Linked DNA regions of Neodiprion lecontei. The main gene of each other region encodes a partner of the protein of the gene in region 3 in a complex. Links are inferred from orthologs where the notes say so. Each region holds a gene or a part of one and is shown on either strand. Other genes may lie near its edges.

What was found.
Region 1: transcription initiation factor IIE subunit beta (region 3) and DNA-directed RNA polymerases I, II, and III subunit RPABC4 share a complex: the UniProt entries of both Homo sapiens proteins name them as parts of the TBP-based Pol II pre-initiation complex. The link is inferred for Neodiprion lecontei from reciprocal best matches to the Homo sapiens genes GTF2E2 and POLR2K.
Region 2: the proteins of transcription initiation factor IIE subunit beta (region 3) and general transcription factor IIE subunit 1 are in contact, whole or in part, in a crystal structure (PDB 5GPY), measured with the Homo sapiens proteins. The link is inferred for Neodiprion lecontei from reciprocal best matches to the Homo sapiens genes GTF2E2 and GTF2E1. Residues at the interface, in NP_002086.1 of Homo sapiens: Asp159, Gln160, Arg161, Gly162, Leu163, Gly164, Gly165, Leu167, Leu190, Val192, Asn193, Arg194, Pro195, Ile200, Phe202, Cys208, Gln209, Phe210, Ser211, Val212, Asp213, Glu215, Phe216, Gln217, Leu219, Trp220, Arg221, Val223, Thr224, Val225; in NP_005504.2 of Homo sapiens: Arg16, Lys19, Tyr20, Val21, Arg23, Gly24, Phe25, Tyr26, Ile28, Glu29, Leu32, Arg39, Leu51, Leu52, Lys53, Phe54, Asp55, Gln58, Gly68, Asp69, Lys70, Phe71, Lys73, Thr98, Asn101, Val102, Val103, Lys104, Tyr105, Lys106.
Region 4: transcription initiation factor IIE subunit beta (region 3) and general transcription factor IIH subunit 4 share a complex: the UniProt entries of both Homo sapiens proteins name them as parts of the TBP-based Pol II pre-initiation complex. The link is inferred for Neodiprion lecontei from reciprocal best matches to the Homo sapiens genes GTF2E2 and GTF2H4.

What each region holds. Positions count from the first base shown.
Region 1 is NC_060264.1:19,860,949-19,864,344, forward strand, and holds DNA-directed RNA polymerases I, II, and III subunit RPABC4, read right to left. Parts: upstream 1,787-3,396; 5' UTR 1,642-1,786; coding exon 1,581-1,641; intron 1,280-1,580; coding exon 1,187-1,279; intron 739-1,186; coding exon 716-738; 3' UTR 550-715; downstream 1-549. UniProt on the Homo sapiens protein: DNA-dependent RNA polymerase catalyzes the transcription of DNA into RNA using the four ribonucleoside triphosphates as substrates.
Region 2 is NC_060263.1:15,135,715-15,141,003, forward strand, and holds general transcription factor IIE subunit 1, read left to right. Parts: upstream 1-1,593; 5' UTR 1,594-1,608; coding exon 1,609-1,640; intron 1,641-1,672; coding exon of another isoform or gene 1,673-1,718; exon of another isoform or gene 1,719-2,172; intron 2,173-2,174; coding exon 2,175-2,308; intron 2,309-2,395; coding exon 2,396-2,562; intron 2,563-2,631; coding exon 2,632-2,760; intron 2,761-2,842; coding exon 2,843-3,069; intron 3,070-3,150; coding exon 3,151-3,358; intron 3,359-3,446; coding exon 3,447-3,675; intron 3,676-3,751; coding exon 3,752-3,927; 3' UTR 3,928-4,301; coding exon of another isoform or gene 4,302-4,332; 3' UTR 4,333-4,771; downstream 4,772-5,289. Other genes in the region: putative ATPase N2B, read right to left, coding at 4,302-4,332; rab-like protein 3, read right to left, coding at 307-486, 597-710, 896-1,044, 1,128-1,337, 1,673-1,718; arrestin homolog, read right to left, coding at 5,146-5,289.
Region 3 is NC_060261.1:43,445,192-43,449,181, forward strand, and holds transcription initiation factor IIE subunit beta, read left to right. Parts: upstream 1-1,636; 5' UTR 1,637-1,773; coding exon 1,774-1,835; intron 1,836-1,974; coding exon 1,975-2,239; intron 2,240-2,379; coding exon 2,380-2,589; intron 2,590-2,669; coding exon 2,670-2,990; 3' UTR 2,991-3,466; downstream 3,467-3,990. UniProt on the Homo sapiens protein: Recruits TFIIH to the initiation complex and stimulates the RNA polymerase II C-terminal domain kinase and DNA-dependent ATPase activities of TFIIH. Both TFIIH and TFIIE are required for promoter clearance by RNA polymerase.
Region 4 is NC_060264.1:26,469,266-26,475,138, reverse strand, and holds general transcription factor IIH subunit 4, read right to left. Parts: upstream 4,049-5,873; 5' UTR 3,517-4,048; coding exon 3,003-3,516; intron 2,615-3,002; coding exon 2,490-2,614; intron 2,089-2,489; coding exon 1,883-2,088; intron 1,771-1,882; coding exon 1,597-1,770; intron 1,500-1,596; coding exon 1,413-1,499; coding exon of another isoform or gene 1,409-1,412; intron 1,332-1,408; coding exon 1,116-1,331; intron 970-1,115; coding exon 888-969; 3' UTR 528-887; downstream 1-527. Other genes in the region: cyclin-C, read left to right, coding at 155-357; sprouty-related, EVH1 domain-containing protein 1, read left to right, coding at 5,041-5,060, 5,847-5,873. UniProt on the Homo sapiens protein: Component of the general transcription and DNA repair factor IIH (TFIIH) core complex, which is involved in general and transcription-coupled nucleotide excision repair (NER) of damaged DNA and, when complexed to CAK, in RNA transcription by RNA polymerase II.

The DNA.
Region 1 (3,396 bases), on a different chromosome or scaffold from region 3:
ACACCAAAATAAGTCTACATCATACCATTGGAACCAAATGATGGCTTTTGCCTGTTGATATCAGATCGAGGGACCGGAGTGTAGGATTTTATAAACATTATACATACATACATAGGTATTAGCTAGATGTATAAAATAATACGTAGTTAAAATAGGTAGAATCCAACTTTTATCAATTATTAAAATTATACATGTATTCGCATAGGCTCCCGATTGTTCACAAGCTCCGTTGCTCTTCCACCTTTACCTTCTTCTCTGTACCTAACCTCTTCCGTAATTCAGCGTAAATTAAACAAAAAATCTGTTAACGAACTCTTATATACTTTATTGATGCAAAAAAGGAAAAAAAAGATGAAAAAAAAGTGTAATTTATTTATTGTAAATGAAGAAAGTATATTGCCTAAAAAAATGAAAATAATGAAATTAAAAGAAATAAAAAGAAAAAAAGACAAACGAGTTTTAAATTCATTTACAACCAAAGTAAAAAACGTATTCAATTGTGTTGCTTAGAAGTAAGAAAATTTGATGTATTAAATAAGCTAAAATATATTTCTTTGACATATATGTCATTTATTTCACATACAAGAAAAAATGGTCAAATATTAATTCATCGCAGTGTAATTACATATAATAAATTGAGGCGCGATGATCATCTTCATAGAATTCCATTATTGTTAAGAATTTGTACAGGGTTTTGTGGCTGGTCACAACACATCTATCGAGCATCGAAGACGACGACTGTTTATTATTATTGTGTTAAGGAATGTAAAGGAGATGTGTTTTCCAAATTTTTGTAGTGAGTTTATTTTTGATTTTATAAGGTCAGTGGTGAAATCATCAGCTGGCAAGATATCGAACAATGATGTTGTAGTATGGGAATTTATTAATCGTAACAATAATTTGAAAACATGTGAAAAGTCCCTGAACTCGTCAGTGAAAAGATAGCGTTGAATTTCAGCGGAAAGCAACCTAGTGTTATAGGTTGTTGCGTTAAAACATTTACGTGGATGAAGTTTAAAACCAAGAAAGTCAAAAAACTCTGCTGCTATCAGTGCTGATCTTTCAATCGAAGTGATGCCAAATTGGACTCATAGTAAACTATTTTTTTTTGATCTGACAGAAGAAGGCCAAAGTTCAATAAGTTGATTAAACAATTGGTGAGGCAGACAACAATAGAAAAGGATACGTCGCTTGGTGCGTTTCTTGTACATTATCCTGTACCCACATTCTCGGCAACGTATCGGATCTCTAGGACGGATCTCGTTGTCGTGGTGACATTCTGAAAACGAGATGTAAAACAATAATGAAAAGAAGAATAAGCCAGAGAAGATACAACAGAGAAAACTGATAAATAACCAAACAGACAGGATGCTTGATCGTTGTGTGATGTTTAATCATGTGTCAAGTAAGTTTAAGGTTGCGATTGTATTGATTACTTGTGAAGTTGAAACAAGATGCTACAATAACTTTTGTTCTTAAAAAAAAAACTCTTATTCAGACCCACGTGTAGCCGTATCGGTAAACAAAGCTATGCATAACATAACCTCGATGATCCAAGTTTGAGGCAAAGTATCGCTCACCTCCGCAGATGTAAACCATAGCTTGCTTAGGCGCAGATTCCGCTTTACTGCTAGTGTCCATATCACGAGGTAATCAAGATAATTAAGCCAATATTTATGCGTTTCTTACGGATCCTTCTGCTCGTCTCCGAAAATCGTTGTGTTTAGAACGCTTAAAAGTGTTAAAGTAACCTTACTTAACCTAATGTAATGTCGATATTATACCTGGTTAGTTCCCCGACAATCCACGATGCACAAGAAGCGCTAAAATCGGCGCGCACAATTGCATTGCATGGCGTGAGACAATAGCGAAGACACATCCGACACTTACCGATCGAGTGGTTGTTGCAATAAACATGTTTTTGGGTAATAATACCCACATTAGCATGGAAGTATGAATTAATTGAATGAGGGTAGTTGAGAACTGTTTTCATACAATATCCTCGATATTTTTATAGATCTGGTAATTTGCCTATCCTAGATATCAATCTAACCGACAGCAGGTTAGAGTAAGCTTTTCAAGCACTTATCCTCAAAGTTTGGCGATGCAGTTTGATTAATTGGTCAAGTCGCATCCTTCGCAAAGGTTTTTCGGTGATTTGGTATTCTCGACATCATGTTGAAGATATAATTCAGCTTGACAATTGAAATACTTAGTATCGAACAGTAACAAAAAATCCGAAATATATATAGATGGTACTCCATTTTTCTATCATTTTCCGTCAGGTAAAACGAACCTTAATGAATTCGTAATGAAAATCTCTGGAGAACGATTGACCGCGAAGACAGACATGTCGAATTTGCAGGGTTGGCAACCGTGCGATGCGTTCCCGCCTTTCCCGCCTAGTATACCGCGGCTCTCGCTGGCGGGCGTCCCTGCCGTCCCGCCTCCTTGTCAGGATCTCGCGCGGTTTAGAGAAAGAGAAAGAGTAGTGATCGAATCGCGGAGCAGCGAGGAAGTGTGCCATCACAGCGTGCGTGTTGGCGGGACACGGTGTTGTTCTCAGCCTGCGATAGCGATAATATAAGCGTAGGCGTGCAAACGAGAGGAGAAGAAGAAGACGCGTTACACCAGAAAAGGAAAAAGAATCCAATAACAGAAAACAAATCTCGCCGCCAATGGGATTCGGTTCGGCTGAACCGGCGGGAGAGCAGCTGCACCGCCAGACGGCGTCCTCGCACCCGATTGGCTGAGATCCGGCGGTCGGCCCTCGGTAGGGCAACGGATAAACAGTTTTGAAAGGACTCAACTAGTCGAGTATCTCCACAGTCTCCGAGCAGGACCGGCTGCCCACGGAGCAGCAGCCAGTAACAGCAGCAGCACGCAGCGTGTCGAGCGGTCGGCGTGCGCGTTACGTTTAGTTCCCGGTGTTTTGTTGTGTCGCGCGGTCCTGTGACTGTTATCGTTTCTATCTATTCTTCAAAGAATTGGTTAAGTCGGTACGTTCGCGCAGTGAAAATAGAGGATATTATTCGCGCTCCTTTGGTCATTTACTCGTGATCGTGCATCCGATCAAGTGGTTTTTGTGTGTCTCATGTTGTGTGGTGATGCAGGTTTTCGTTACATCCGATGAACGTGAATGAATAAGGTGCGTGTCAAAAGTTTCTCGCTCAAATACATATCCATTCAAGTCAAAATATTGTAAAACCCACGTGTGTTTGTTGTTACTATTTATCTCCGCGTACCGTGACTCTTGTGTGTGTGTCTTTTCTTCATGTAGTTTCATTGCCGTGACCGATCAGTGCCGTTTATTTACTCGATTGTGTCTCGTGGAGAGAATAAGACTATTGGATACAGAAGCTGCGGCTGGCAGATCGTCGATTGAAGAGGGGCGAC
Region 2 (5,289 bases), on a different chromosome or scaffold from region 3:
GCGTAATATGAAATCGTTTGTACGGAATGAAAAGTCTCTCATCAAATACTGCTTCGTCGATATGAAAGGAAAAGAAGAAACAATTTTTCACAGTAACTGCGAAAATCAGTTTCTTTTGCTTCAAGACTAAAACCCCTCAATACGGAATTGATAACGGCCTTCGAGTCTCAAGTGAGCTACTGAATGTATTGATTCTTTATTCAGAAATATATATATATATATTTTTTTTTGTAGTTCTGTAAAATAGGGTACAAGGGAGAGTAAAGTGAAATATATTACAATAGATATGATGTGGAGGGTCTTCGTTCAGTCATTGTGATAAAATTTTGGACTATACTGCGAAGAGTATACTGGTAGTCTTCGCTTGTCTGGGCTGATTCCTTCTCTCGCTGAGTAATACCGTCTTTCGATAACTTTGTCGAAAAATCGGCTCAGCTTCACCGAAGAACTCGAGCCTGCAGCCAAGGATCTGACTTGATGACAATCCTGACAATGATCAAAGAAATCTTTAATTTAAAAAATAAAATCAATTTCAACCCAATGAAACAAACATACACAATATTTGGCATCGACCGTTTGCCTTTTAATTTTATTACCAAGAATATTTCGTCCGCTCCACATTCCTCAGCAATTGTAGATGAACGTCGATGAACACTTGATCTCACTTCTGCGGCCAGATCAAACTTTGTTGCAATTACCAAAATTGGTATCTGGAAATAAAATTTCAGGTTTTGACTCTTGTGAGGTGATTTTAATTTTGATAATTGTCAAAACATTACTAATCTATGAATGAAATTTGTAAAACTATACTTTTTTGTAAGCAATTCTCAAGCCATCATTCAAAGTTGACAGATTCTCATTTCATCGGCTAAGCAGCCAATTAAAAAATAGTTACTTGTGTTGAACCGACGAACTGTTCGGGATCAAAGTCGTCGAAAGATTTAGACTTGGAATGGTTACCGTCCTTGTTTAGAACTTCCTGAAGCCACTTCTGGAGATTCTGCTGCGACTTTCTATTAGTCAGATCGTGAACCAAGATAATACCTGAAAATGAGAAAATTCTATTATAATCAGAACACAAGTTTATCACGTATATTTCTGAGATTCTTACACCGTACTTTGCATACCATTTGTCGGATTGTAAAACACAGATCTAGTATTTTGGTGATTCTGACTACCGCCGATGTCCCACAACTCTATAAAGTATCTTCTTTGATTCGGAGTGCCTTCTTTGTACTCATGCAGCTTTACTTCAACCGAACATCCTACTGTCCACGACGGATTCCCTATCGGTTGTTGATGGCATATTAAATGAGTCAGTGAGGTTTTTCCAACACCTGTAAAAATAAAAGGAAGACTTGCTTACAGACTGTTTATATAATAAGTAACAACAAAAGTGGATCAAAATATGCATGTACAGTGCATAGATGGGTAAATAACCTTAAAAACCTCGTGATTTCCCCATGAATAAATATATTCGTAACCAAATTAAATCTACGATTTATTGCCGGAGGAACGGTAAAGCGGCGATGCAAACGAAGAAAATATTAAATTAAGTGAATTGCGTATACGTGGTGATCGCGATCTGTGAACAGATTCTTTTAGCGAATGATCCGAAGAACGAAGAATGCCGTTAATGGGTAAGTGATAATTTAGCAGAGGATAATTATACCAGAATCTCCGACAACGATTATTTTGACCTTATCGATCGCTGCCATTTGTACAGTTACATTCGAATTCTGACTTGAATTTCCTGACAGCAACCGGCGGAGCGGAATCTAGGTACAGTTTTTGTTTGACAAGCTCCACCTCCCCGCCGAACGCGGCATCATAACCTCAAGTAACGACTCTAGCCATCGATGCACCCTGTGTTAAATTTCCGAAAAACTATGCAATTACGCGTTATTTATCCGTGATCGTACCACCGCTGGAACTGTTAATTAAGAATGCGGCAATATTCGTTAATTGGAGTTACAAATAGGCCGTCGAAATAAGAAGAACCGGGTTTTTCCGATAGTTGAAGGTTATAATATCGTTGTGATGGCGAATAAGTAGATAACGAATTGAATGTTTTTACACCTAAGAAATGCATAAGACCACATCAACGCCCTAAAAAAATCCCTCTCACTAACAGTCCGAGTAAATGGTGGGAATTATTGTATTCGAATTATTAGCAGAGAAATGAGTGGGGAGGAAAGATTTGTCACCGAAGTGCCTAGCAGTTTGAAACAACTAGCACGGCTTGTTGTTCGCGGTTTTTATACCATAGAGGATGCCTTAATCGTTGACATGCTGGTCAGAAATCCCTGTAAGTGTAAATCTATTTAATTTGGCATCGCTCATCCCAGCCAACTAAAAAGTTTCAACTGTAGTTTTGTTTGTATCCTTCTATCAGGTATGAAGGAGGACGACATATGCGAGCTGCTAAAATTCGAGCGAAAAATGTTGAGAGCTAGAATATCTACGCTAAGGAATGACAAATTCATTCAAGTTAGACTTAAGATGGAAACTGGATCTGATGGAAAGGCGCAGAAAGTGAACTACTATTTCATCAATTACAAGGTAAAAATTGTCTCAGATTTTCCCTCCAAAATGCCTGCTAAATTTTGAATTTTAATCTTAATCCTTTAGACTTTTGTCAACGTTGTCAAGTATAAGTTGGATCACATGCGTAAGAAAATGGAAACGGAAGAACGAGACGCGACCAGCAGAGCCAGCTTCAAGTGCACAAATTGTCTTAAGACTTTCACGGACCTTGAGGTGAATCTAGCGATAGACAAACGTCTTGATGGACACAATCACAATTTCAATTTTTTTTATGGCAAACAATATTTATTCACAGGCAGATCAACTCTTTGATATGACAACAGACGAGTTCCGATGTACTTATTGTCGGAACATCGTTGAGGAAGATCAATCTGCTCTTCCGAAAAAAGACTCCAGGCTACTTCTGGCAAAATTTAACGAACAATTAGAGCCACTCTACATTCTGCTGCGAGAAGTCGAGGGTATAAAATTGGCACCTGAAATTCTCGAGCCTGAACCTGTTGACATCAATACCATACGAGGGTTAGCAATAAAAATATAATTTTCACTCTTGTTGGACAGCTGCAAATGACAAGTCAACTTTATATTCGACTGACATTACAGCATCGATACGAGGAAGCAAACTGGGCTTCGTGCTCCGGGTGAACAATGGTCAGGAGAGGCGACGAGGTCGTCTGGATTTGCTGTCGAAGATACGAGAGTGGATGTTACCATCGGCGATGAATCGGCCAATGATAACACTGCCAATCGTAGAAAAGAGAGGCCGATTTGGATGATGGAAAGCACTGTGGTAAACACAGATGGATCGCAGGTGTGTAAATGATGATATTGTAGAGAATGTGAATTTGGCAACGAATTTGAGAAAGCTGAATTTGAGAAAGTTGTTTTTGTTATTTCAGACGGACGTGGTTGGAGGCCAAGACAGTATTCTTGATAAGGCTGCAACGAACGCGACAAATGCAACGAACGCAACGAATAAACAGGGCGAAGACATAATGTCGGTGCTACTGGCGCACGAGAAAAAAGGAGGGACTAATGCTGCCAATGCCATTAAGACTGTAATACCTCAAGAATCTAGCGACAGTAGCGATAATGAGGATGTTACAGAGATACAGGCTATCGATATGGGTAATTGCTGCAAGATGATTGTATTTCTCAGCTTTTTAAGATGCTTATTTGAGACTTATTTCTTTGAACGATTCAGGTGATGTAGAGACGATGGATTCAGAGGACGACGACTTGGTGCCCACGGTTAGTGTGGGAGGAAAAACAGTTTCAATTACAGATATCAATGACACTTTGATTGCCGATATGACGCCGGCAGAGAAAGAAGCTTACATTCAAACGTATCAAGAATATTATTCGCACATGTACGATTAGTCTGAAAACAGCTTGCGAGAGTTATATTTTTAAATTAAATTGTACGATGACTGTGAATTTACACACATATACGTGAAGTATGAGAATATTTTGTATAAGTATGAATATAATAAAAATCCATTGTTCACAGCTCCGTGTTTTGTAATTTGCCTTTAACAGCTGACTCGTGTGATACTGAGCTATAATTGCCATGAAAGACTGGTCAAATTTAAGAATTTATTAACATACTTGAAACCTAATATACAATAATATCAATCCAATAACATGTGGAATTAACGATACATTGATCAAGAAAATATATTGAATACGTGATAATAAATAACACTGAATTATTAACAATAATAGAACTAAAATAATTAATCAATAATAATACATGTCACTTCTGGTAAGAACGGGAAATGTCATTATTTATACTATATTAAATGTTTTTCTTTCCCTACCAACTTCTTATGTTATCACTGGATAATAAGTAAAACTTACTTGGGGATATCTTTTTTTTTGCTCGTCTATTTCAAAATTTTTGCTCGACCACCACAATCGAACCCAAATTTGGGGATGATAGAACAAGGATTTTCTGCATATTTTTCGTTTTTTTTTCTTTTTATCAGTTTTTTCGATAATTCAATAGGTAATAATTTTATCGTAAACAAGTTATTTGAGGTAACTTTATGTACATTATAACTTGACTTACGAGACTTGATATATCACTCTACAATTCGGTTTATAACTACTTACTTTTCATTGCTTGCTTTGAAAAGAACCCAAGCATCGCATAATATCACACAAGCAATGGCATCGCGCATCGTTTTTCCCCCTCAATAATTTTTCTTCACGTCCTATACATTAGATCATACAAAAATGTCATCGGCTTTCAGAATATTCGTGGTAACATCAACAAAATCTGATCAGATTTTCTGATTGTTGATACTTTTGAAAGGATTACATTTTCATACTTGCATTTCAAAATTCTTTCACTGTTACGCCAGGCAATTTGATATTTTGCCCTTACAAGCTGTCAACTCGAAAATGAGAATAGACGCATGATTAAAATAAAGACTTAACGATCTTCTATGACTCACTTGCAAACGTAAAATTGGTGCGACTAATTTCAACAATTGAATATTCATAGTGCGAAGTCGTCTACGATGCATATCCATTGCAAAAGTAGATAAATTTACATTCTTTTCATAGCATGTGCAGCGTATACTCCTCGGTGTTTTATTCTGGCTCGTTAAGACGCAAGCGAGCAAAGTCCTCAAAGACAATGTTGTCGTCGTCGTCATTGGCGTAGCAAGAGTTTTCATAGCGTGCACGATCGATGCTCTTGCTCTTCTTCAAAACTGCTTTCTCCTTCTCTAGGGC
Region 3 (3,990 bases):
TTAATTAAATCCATTATTTCACGCGAAATGTCGAAAAAGATCGCAAGAGAAGGAATTTTCCGAATTAATTAACGATATTCGTATTAACTTCCACCCGCTGCTTGCAATGAAAATAGTCGGAAAACTGCCACCGACTATTTCAGTATAGGGCCACCTTATGTATTGCCTAACTGGTGATTATTACTGCCAAATATCGATTGAAAACTTACAGCGATTTTCAACAAATATGATATAAGAAACACGAAGCTATACGCAACTACCGGTGATTGCGTTATGTATTGAGCATGTAGCAATTTTCTCGTCGTAGAGTCAAAAAACCGAAAGTCTTTTTATAAATTTCTCTGCTGCTAGTCCAACGCTGTTTTTGATGTCATATTTTCTGCATTTTTGGGGGTCCGATTAATCTAGAAGGCATCAAACAAATCAATTTGAGACAAAAGATTTTTTGGTTCAAAAAGTAGGACTAACCTCTTTGGATTTTTTCAGTGGGAGTTTGTCTGACTTTGTAAAATAGTTGAATTACTTTTTCAGTGCACCATCTCGACTTAACTTTCCCAGACGAATCCATTGCGCAGTCTAGACACGCTGCCAGCTACGCATAAAAACTTACGGCTAAAGAACATGAATTTTGTACCGGGTTTTCAAAGAGATGTAAAAGCAAAATCACAAACTCACAGCTACAAAGTTCCAGTTCCAGTTTATCCAATGTGTCTTAGTTCTCGTACAAGTGTTCAGGTGTCAGTGTATTCATCTATAGACATGTAGACAGTCTGTGTTCAACAAGCTGCCAAGTAATATTAAAGTGAAAGACAAAGAGACTAGGAGGAAAAAGAAGTAAAATATACATCACTTCAAGCAAAATACGAAAAACGTTGTATGAGATAGTTATTTTTGTAGTTTGTGAGTACGGTTCAAGTTCTGTCCTACACACAGGTGCAATGTATGTACATACATACATCTGCAGGATACGATATGTATGATATTGTATTATTACTATTGCATGGAACCTGTATTACAATCAATAAATAAACAATACCCCTGTGTCCTCTTCGCATTTTCTCGACATAATTCAACGAGAGATTTGATATTCTCCATTTTTTCACACTTTCAATTAACAATCCTAGATTTTTTAACTCTTCGAATGAAAATGTAATTGAGATCCATTGACCTAATCACGTGGGTTTCAACGCGCGGCAATCAACCGTTGCGTCGGTATCTATTTTCATGAGCCAATTTTCCCGCCGACACGGCGTGAAGCTGCCGAATCAAGTCGCCGTCGTGTCGGAACCGTGCTTAGACAGTTGCCGTCGCCAGCAGGCACAGGCGCATTTCTTACGCTGCAGAGATAACAGTACATCCAAGAGATGAAGTATCACGAAGGTAATCCGCGAATGGTACGTGCGGACAGAGATGAATTCCCCTTTCGAATCACTGATCACCATAATATAACACAGTCAATATGTATACTGACAATTAATCTAAGTTCGCTAATGTTTATCGTCTGTTAGTTCTCAACCACCCACCAGCATTCCCCGTGATAAATGCACTCTACATTATCGACTACTTTCGATATCGACATTCGCTTACCAACGAAAATTAGTTCACGAACTTCTTCGTATCAGAGGGCGCTGGTAGGCGAAAAACGTTAGAAACGCACCTGTCAACTGTTTTGAGGGTGTAAACTGCAAAGTGTAAACTATCTAAAAGGCAGACTTGTTAAATTCATTTATATCCGTGATAAACTCGTACGGTAGAAGTTTTAAGAATTACGAAATGGATCCAGCGCTGTTAAGGGAGCGAGAGCTCTTCAAAAAGCGAGCCCTCACCACACCAACGTGAGTAAAACAACGCTGCGCGTTTCTAACCTGTAAATTAGTGAGAAACTGTGAATTAACCGCATTGCGAAGAATTGAAAAATATTGGAAGGCTCTGAAGTGCTTAGTTTAAGAAATAACCGCCTCTTAACACTTTCAGTGTAGAGAAAAAAAAGAGAGAACCCGAGAAGGAACCGATCCGTGATGAGCCGCCAAAAAAAAAGAGCAAGCCATTATCCTCCTCTGCCGCGCCGAAGTTGGACATGGTCAACTACAAGACCATGTCTGGCAGTTCGCAGTACAGATTCGGAGTCTTGGCAAAAATAGTTAAGCACATGAAGTCGCGGCATCAGGAGGGCGATGACCATCCTCTCACCCTCGACGAGATTTTAGACGAGACAAATCAGCTCGACGTCGGATCTAAGGTGATCCAAACATTTTGTAGAACTGCTTAAAAATACTTGCGATTATTTCAATCAAAAGATAAATCGTGCTAAAGCCAGAGCTTGCATTAAAATTCAACTATACTACCAGTAATTCTATTTACCATTCTTTATTCGTGCAGGTAAAACAATGGCTGCTGACAGAGTCGTTGATTAACAATCCAAAGATCGAAGTCTCTCCAGATGGAAGATTCTCCTTCAAAGCGATGTACAAAATAAAAGACAAGAAATCGTTACTCAGACTCTTGAAGCAGCAGGATCTTAAGGGACTCGGAGGCATCCTGCTTGAAGACATTCAGGAGAGTTTGCCGCATTGCGACAAAGCTCTGAAGGTAAATCGTTCTCCCTCAGGATATTAATGAGCTATTATTTTGGTGCAAATCGTGTTATTTTTTATCTTACTGATGCGCAGAGTCTCCAGAACGAAATACTCTTCATAACAAGACCTTTGGATAAGAAAAAGATAGTGTTCTACAACGACAAAACGGCCCAATTTATAGTCGACGATGAATTTCAAAAATTGTGGAGGGCTGTTGCAGTCGACGCAATGGACGATCAGAAGATCGATGAATACCTTGAGAAACAGGGAATTAGGTCGATGCAGGATCACGGACCAAAGAAGCCTGCACCCATTAAAAGGAAAAAACCAAACGCAAGGAAGAAGCAGTTCAAAAAACCACGAGACAACGAGCATTTGGCAGATGTTTTGGAAACCTACGACGACAATAAATGAAGCCGAAATTTAAAGACTTTATAGATAGATGGCTTAATCAAGGATTGTAAATATCGTTTGTATAAGAATAAATAAACAATGTGATTTATTATTGTTATCGTCTAAACTAGCTTGTAAGTACAAAATAAATATATATCTATAATATTTTGAACAATAACTAGTCCGCTTCATCTATATTTCAATTGCCATTTCTTTCCTCTCTCTGAATGAATATATTAAAGACCAATAAGCCTCTCGTCTTGCAATATTTAGTTACATCGGAAGTCTACCTAGTTGTATTCGCGACTACATAGGTATGATGATTGAACCGAAGTATATTGTAGCACAAAGTTTAAAAAATAACAAAGTATCAAACGACGATCGTTGATACTTTTTCCGCCACCATGGAATTCCATAGAAAGTGCATTTCAGACATGAGATTTCGAGGATTTTCGCGCAACTTTGCAATTTGCTTTCTATTTCTCACGGCCAAGTTGTGCGAAATGGAAAAAGCATGATTCGTGATTTGCATTGATATATTAGAACTGTTCAAAGTGTATTCAAAGATTAATCTGTTCTAACGCTTGTTAAACAATTTTCTCCTGATATCCACGTTATTCAATGCTTGATCCAATTACATGGGTTCGGATTGTTGTCTTAGCGCGCTGGATCATCGGGATTCAAGTTTCCGCAAGATCTTATTTGGTAGTGGCAATTAAAATACTCCAAAAGCGTAGTATTTGAGTACAATACGAATGATAGTAAAATTAACGACGGTAATTATATCGATCTTAAAGGCACTAAGTCAAGTCTTCAGCACCTTAGGGTATAATAATTTAACTTACGATTTACACAAATTATACAACCTTCAACCAGATTATTTTACAGCATTAATATAAATTGTAATAGTTGAAATATAACGACGAAAGCGTTTCAGCTCCACGGACATACAGGGTATCCCGTCGTAAATCATTCGTTACAATATCTCTAATTGTAAAACTAGAGTTGCTGTTGAAAAATT
Region 4 (5,873 bases), on a different chromosome or scaffold from region 3:
GTATTAGGCGAAATCCGACTGAACTGGACGTGTTTGGCTTCGTAAGTGTATCGTTCTCTCCCTGAACGGAGTATAATAATGTATCAACATTGACCAGTTTAGTGCAGTTTTTCTTCTTCATTTTTTCTTTTGTTTAATATATTTCTACGAATAGGTTGCCTGCAAATTGCCTGTGTAATACTGCAAAAAGATTTAAAGTCATGGTTTGCCGAGTTGAATGTGGATATGGAAAAGATTCAGGAGATTGCCAGGTACATAATTAACTTATACGAGTTGTGGAGAACTTATGACGAGAAGAAAGAAATACAAGGATTATTGGGCAAAATGCCGAAACCAAAGGCTGCACCGCAACGCTGACATCAACCTCCTGCGGATCCTTTGAACTGGGAATCACGTCAGGAGGATCGTTTGTACAATTAATTACTTAATCTTTATAAAAAATTATTGGACCGTAAGGAATGAGAGAATATTATTTTGCTCTCTGCTACATTGACTGTGAGAATATTTGGGAAATTACGATCATCAAATATTGATAAATTTAATCAAATTTATTTCCTTATTTTCGTAACCTTTATCATAGAAATTATTTATATCATTGACACTGTAATCCCACTAGCTTCCAGGTCTTTGTAACTTCTTATCAGGACTGGCATAATTATAGTTATCATCAAGAGCATTATTGTTACTCCAACGCCGCTTTATTCCAGAGTGATCGGTGGCAGACTTTTGCAACCACTTTACCTACAAGTGCTCAAAAAGTGAAAATAGTAGTCTCATTCAGGAAGTAAATAATATTAACACAGTCTGAACATGTGAGACATACTGTAGTTGAAAGATGAAGAATTCGCCAGCAGGTAGCAATGCCCAAAGCAAAGCAAAAATTGAAATCAACTGCTTCCTTTCGAATAACGCTTCCAAAACTTTTTGACGTCATCATGACCCGCTTTTGTGACAACCATAGTCCGCTTTCTGTAAACAAAATGGTGAAAGAATGATCATCTCATTTTGAATATACTATGTTGTTTAATATCAAATAAGAATAAATGAAAATTAATTATACCAAAGTTAGACAATAAGCCCACATCCCTATTCTGTATTTTATATAATAACATTACCTTTCGCTTTGCCAGATTAGAACTTGGGTGGTGAGCGCGTGATCTCTGAGTACTTCAAAGTCAGTCTGTGAAAGAAACTGACTATACAGAACGCCCTCGCTAAATATAAATCTATTTCTTTCGTTTTCCCACAACTTGATTTGATCCACTATGGTAGGGGGCAAAGTTGGTGGTCCTAAGGCAATCATCTTAGGATGGGCATGCTGATGTAGGTATCTGTACAAGAAATGATTTTAGAATTGGGGCATTAATGAAACATCGAATAATGTGCGTATACCAATATTATTACGTACATACCCAACGATTTGTTCAGCTGTAATGCCGCTCTTCAGAGCTTGCCTCACTGAATCTCTTGTTAAAATGGATACAACCAAGTTTGGGAACCTGAAAACGGCCAAAATTACAAATCAGTAGTTGGTTTTCTGAAATTGAATAGGTGAAAAAAACTGATATTGCTTTAGACAATTTTTTCCATGCTTACCTGTAAAGCATTTCACAAAAGAGACCAAGCAGAGCGACTTGCAAATTAGAATTGGTATAAGCGTAAACTCTGTAATTGGTTTCCACGACTATATATCCTTCCTTCTCTAAGTCACTTGACAGAGGCTTATTTTGACCTGTGGCAATGTTTAGTGCTAGCCTGGTAGGGTAAAATCTAAGAAAATAAAACATACGGTATTACAATTTTAATATATTTATAAAGTATTTTCAGTATGTACACGCAGATAGAATGTGGAATAGATTCATCAGTTTGTTGAAATAATTACCTTCCAGCCTTACGTTTTCTTTGATAGACCAGACCAAATTCTCTGAGGTGCTGCAAAAATGTCAATAGTCCCTCTGACATACCTTCAGTACTGTAATCTTTTCCCAATGTCGAGAAATTCAATTGAAACAAGAAGGTTAGACAAACGACCAGATCCAGACCCCTGGCTTCTATAGTGTCCAAGTATTGAAGAATGAAGTACCAGACCTGAAAAGTAGTCAAATCATAGCTAATTGCTACTTAGTATTACGAGTTGGTACCTTGGAACGTATGGTGAAATAAAGAATACACAGGGTTACAAAGAGCTATCGCCCCCTAGGCTACCAATAGTACGAGGAATACACAGGTAGCTTATGGTGCGATAATCCCAAGTCACTTTGTATATGGTGGTCATAAACTGAATATTATATTACCATGAAAGACTGCTAATTTGTACAGTGTAAACAATAAATTGATGACTGGCCTATCAGTTGCTATTGTAAACCATGCACAACATTTACATTTTCAAGTAAGGAAAGGTTTTACACAAACACTACACGCAATCAACTTTTGTTTTGACTTTTGAGTAGCCAAAATTTAACCATCTTATAATTGACAGAATATCTTACCTGGGACGCTGTATCTAGCAGTAGAAACTGAAATCCTGCTTGTGTAATGACTGGGCTGCCGTCTTCCTCATCACGTTTCATCAGTCCAGCATGTAGCAGTATTCTTACCGCATCAGCCGATATTCCTAAGTTAAATCATTTGAAGCTGGCTATAAAAATTCAAAATTCAAATTTTCCTGATTTCGTGGCTCCTCAGAACCAATATTCACATTTTCGTTCCATATTAATTCTCTATGCTCAAACTTGTTAGTAAATTGTGATAGGTAATGGAACATTTCAATGGTTGATTTTTCTGTGGGTTTACTCTATCAAAATCAGTCGTATTAGCAAGTACTCCATCCTATATATTGTTTTGCTTCTGGTTGTGTACATGGCTTAGCCATTGGAGCATTTTTTATATCGCCTTGGAAAGATTTTGTGACTCTTTCAGATTTCAATATTTACATACATTAATTGATAAGTTATTGCAATTTGTAGCTTTTAAGATCATTTTGACAGCATAAACTGGCTCACCTTCTTGCTGCTGAGATCCGACCATGTAATGGAGAACACACTCCCACCTTTCCAAGGCATACGTATCTAGGAAGGCGACGTCTCGTGGTTTATTATCGGTTTCTAACTGATTTGACATCGTCCAAGGTTTACCGCCACCAAGTAAAACTATTTTCAAATTCTTCTTCAACGTTGAATTCAAAATCCACCCAGGTAGACCACCGGGGATTGATGCTTCCTTCCAGATATTCAGCTCATTGAGAATTTTGACGACCTTCTGATGCTCATCGGTATGTAACTTTGAACACCATGAAGCTATGACTGCCTGAGGTACGGGCTGTTCAACGAACAGCAACCGCATAACATAATGCCTGGCTATTTCAGGCAATTCCCGAAAAACGGCCAGACAAATCGGAGGGTTGTGATACAGTTTATTCAACGTTTCTGGCGGCCGAGTCTTTAGATATTCATGAAGATCTTTGCACTGCAGCCCAGTTGGACGCAATAAATTCTTACCACTTATCGTGTTTGACATGTTCGCATCAAGTCTTTGCCACTATTATTAACAAGCTTATGAATAGACTCCAGATCTTTTCTTGGCTGTCAACACACACATCTCGTCTCAGTTTTGGTTACTTTTCTGCAACTTTATAAACACAACCGCCACGCTGGGCTACTGAATGGGTACAACCTTTTATCGTTCAAACGGCCGTGGAAACAGCATAACCTATATTTTTATATTTTATACTCCGTTCGACGTCTCGGTCAGCCGTTGGCATAAATTCACCGAATAGGGATCAGTGGGTGAATTCCTGACATAGGTTACTCATATTCAATCACAGATAGCAGCCTCACAGTTACAGTTCAGTACTTATCCATACACAGACATACCGACAGAAATGTTTTGTCTTCTTCTAGCTCCTGGATTAGATAAAAACAGAGAACGTCCTATTACCAACCAAACGGCACGAACGACAGTCGCACTGATCAAAATTCTTAGGGCTAATTTTCCTACATGCTGGAGTACCCAACATTTTTGGAACTAATTCTTAAGGTCCATGGTAGGTAACTATGTCAGTAAACGACCAATATTCTGCAGTATTTAGCTTCAGGAACTAAGGAATGAACCAAACAGAACTAGGCCCGCCTCTCGCGGGAACAGATGGCAGTTTTCTTCTACGGAGCACGTCGAACTGCAGCAAACCCTTCTATCCATGCTTTTACTAACCCCTACTGTTCTATTGTGCAGTGTGCGATGGGATCGCACACCATTGACCATCGCATACAGTATAAGCATAAACCGACCCGCGCGATCCTCGTGTGAATGCGAGCCGATGAATGGGCTCGTAGCGCGGGTCCTATTCATTCATCCAGGTGTTATTAAACCAAAAGAAGAAAACGAAAGGAAGAATACAAGATAAATAAATAAATATAAATAATTCGCCAAGTATGGCGAGGTTGATTCTGCTCGAGACTCATAGCGAACATCATCTGCAGCTGCATCCTGATAACAATTATTAATTCCTATAGCGTGGTGACAAACGGATACACATCGATCGAGAGCATGGCTATTATACATGTATACGCGTTCTTCTATAAGAATAAATAAACGGAAAATATGAACGATGTGGCGGAGAGGACTGTTCGTTTAACATTAATGTGAAATTCGCTGTATTTCCAAACGTCGACGGTATTCCCGAGGAAGTAAAAACTGAAAGGAGACAAGGAACGACGACGCTCGTGGCTCGTCGCGGCGCGGGTAGATCAACGACGACGGGTTATAAGCCAGGGATCGCTCGGCTCTGGGCGGGGCGGAGCGAGGGGTTTGTCGTCGGTCGTCGGTCGAGGGCAAGCGGGACGTGCGGGGTTATTCGGGGGGCAGAGGTGGATTGGGGCGCTTCCTGTAGTTGGCGCTAGCCTAAAAAAAAAAGAAAGACAGCAAAGGAGTAAAAAGAGAGTTCACACGGTAGAATCGCGGTCGAATGTATTTTCAATGCAACGAAAATGGTGAAATTTGGGAAAAAGTGGGCATCGAGTAAAGGCTTTGACAGCTCGAACCATGACAGAGGCGTCGGAAGAGTAAGTAGATATAAAACGAATCATATTATTCTACCGAGCAAACAGCCCTGCTGTGCTATACTTCCATCGCCTACGATACATGATCAACGAACGCAGACATGCACACCTAAACCCACGCATACGCTCACGGAAAACAAAAATATTACACCTTAGCTACGATATACTCCGTTAAATACACGTATCCGCATTTACATGTTTCCAAACGCTTATGCACGTATCTATGCAACCGTACACCCTGCTCTACTCGACCGATTTCACCCTACTTCCAGCGACCGTTCTATCCTTTTTTTCGCACAGGGCTAGGTCTTCCGTCAATCGCTTCCACCATTTTATTCGGATTTCATTCTAAAATACAGTACTCTTTCCTCTCATCATTCGGCCAACGCATGATTCCTCGGTCACGCTTCCTTCCTGAGCCGATTATCCCTGTTTCGCACGTAATGTACGTAACGTATGTACGCGAATGCTGTCAACCCCTGCCTACCTAACATCCGTCATTCCATCAGTTGTCGAAAACTGTTCCACTAACGTCTATCGCGCGTATGTTCGTGTCTCACCTCCCTGCGTCCATCCAGCCCTTCCCCAGCTGTCATTGTACGATCCATTCATGAAATCCATCGGCCGTACGCGATTGATAATTTGCCGATTCCCCCACACGCGCGATTTCAGAAGGATTCGAGATCAGCCTTAACTTAATCAGAATCATTGGTCTGAACGATTTTGAGAGAGAAAAACACTTTCACTTCATTCTTTTACAACAGTTGAACGACTTTTAACACTTTCCAGTGGTAACTACTTGGTAAGGGTCAGGGC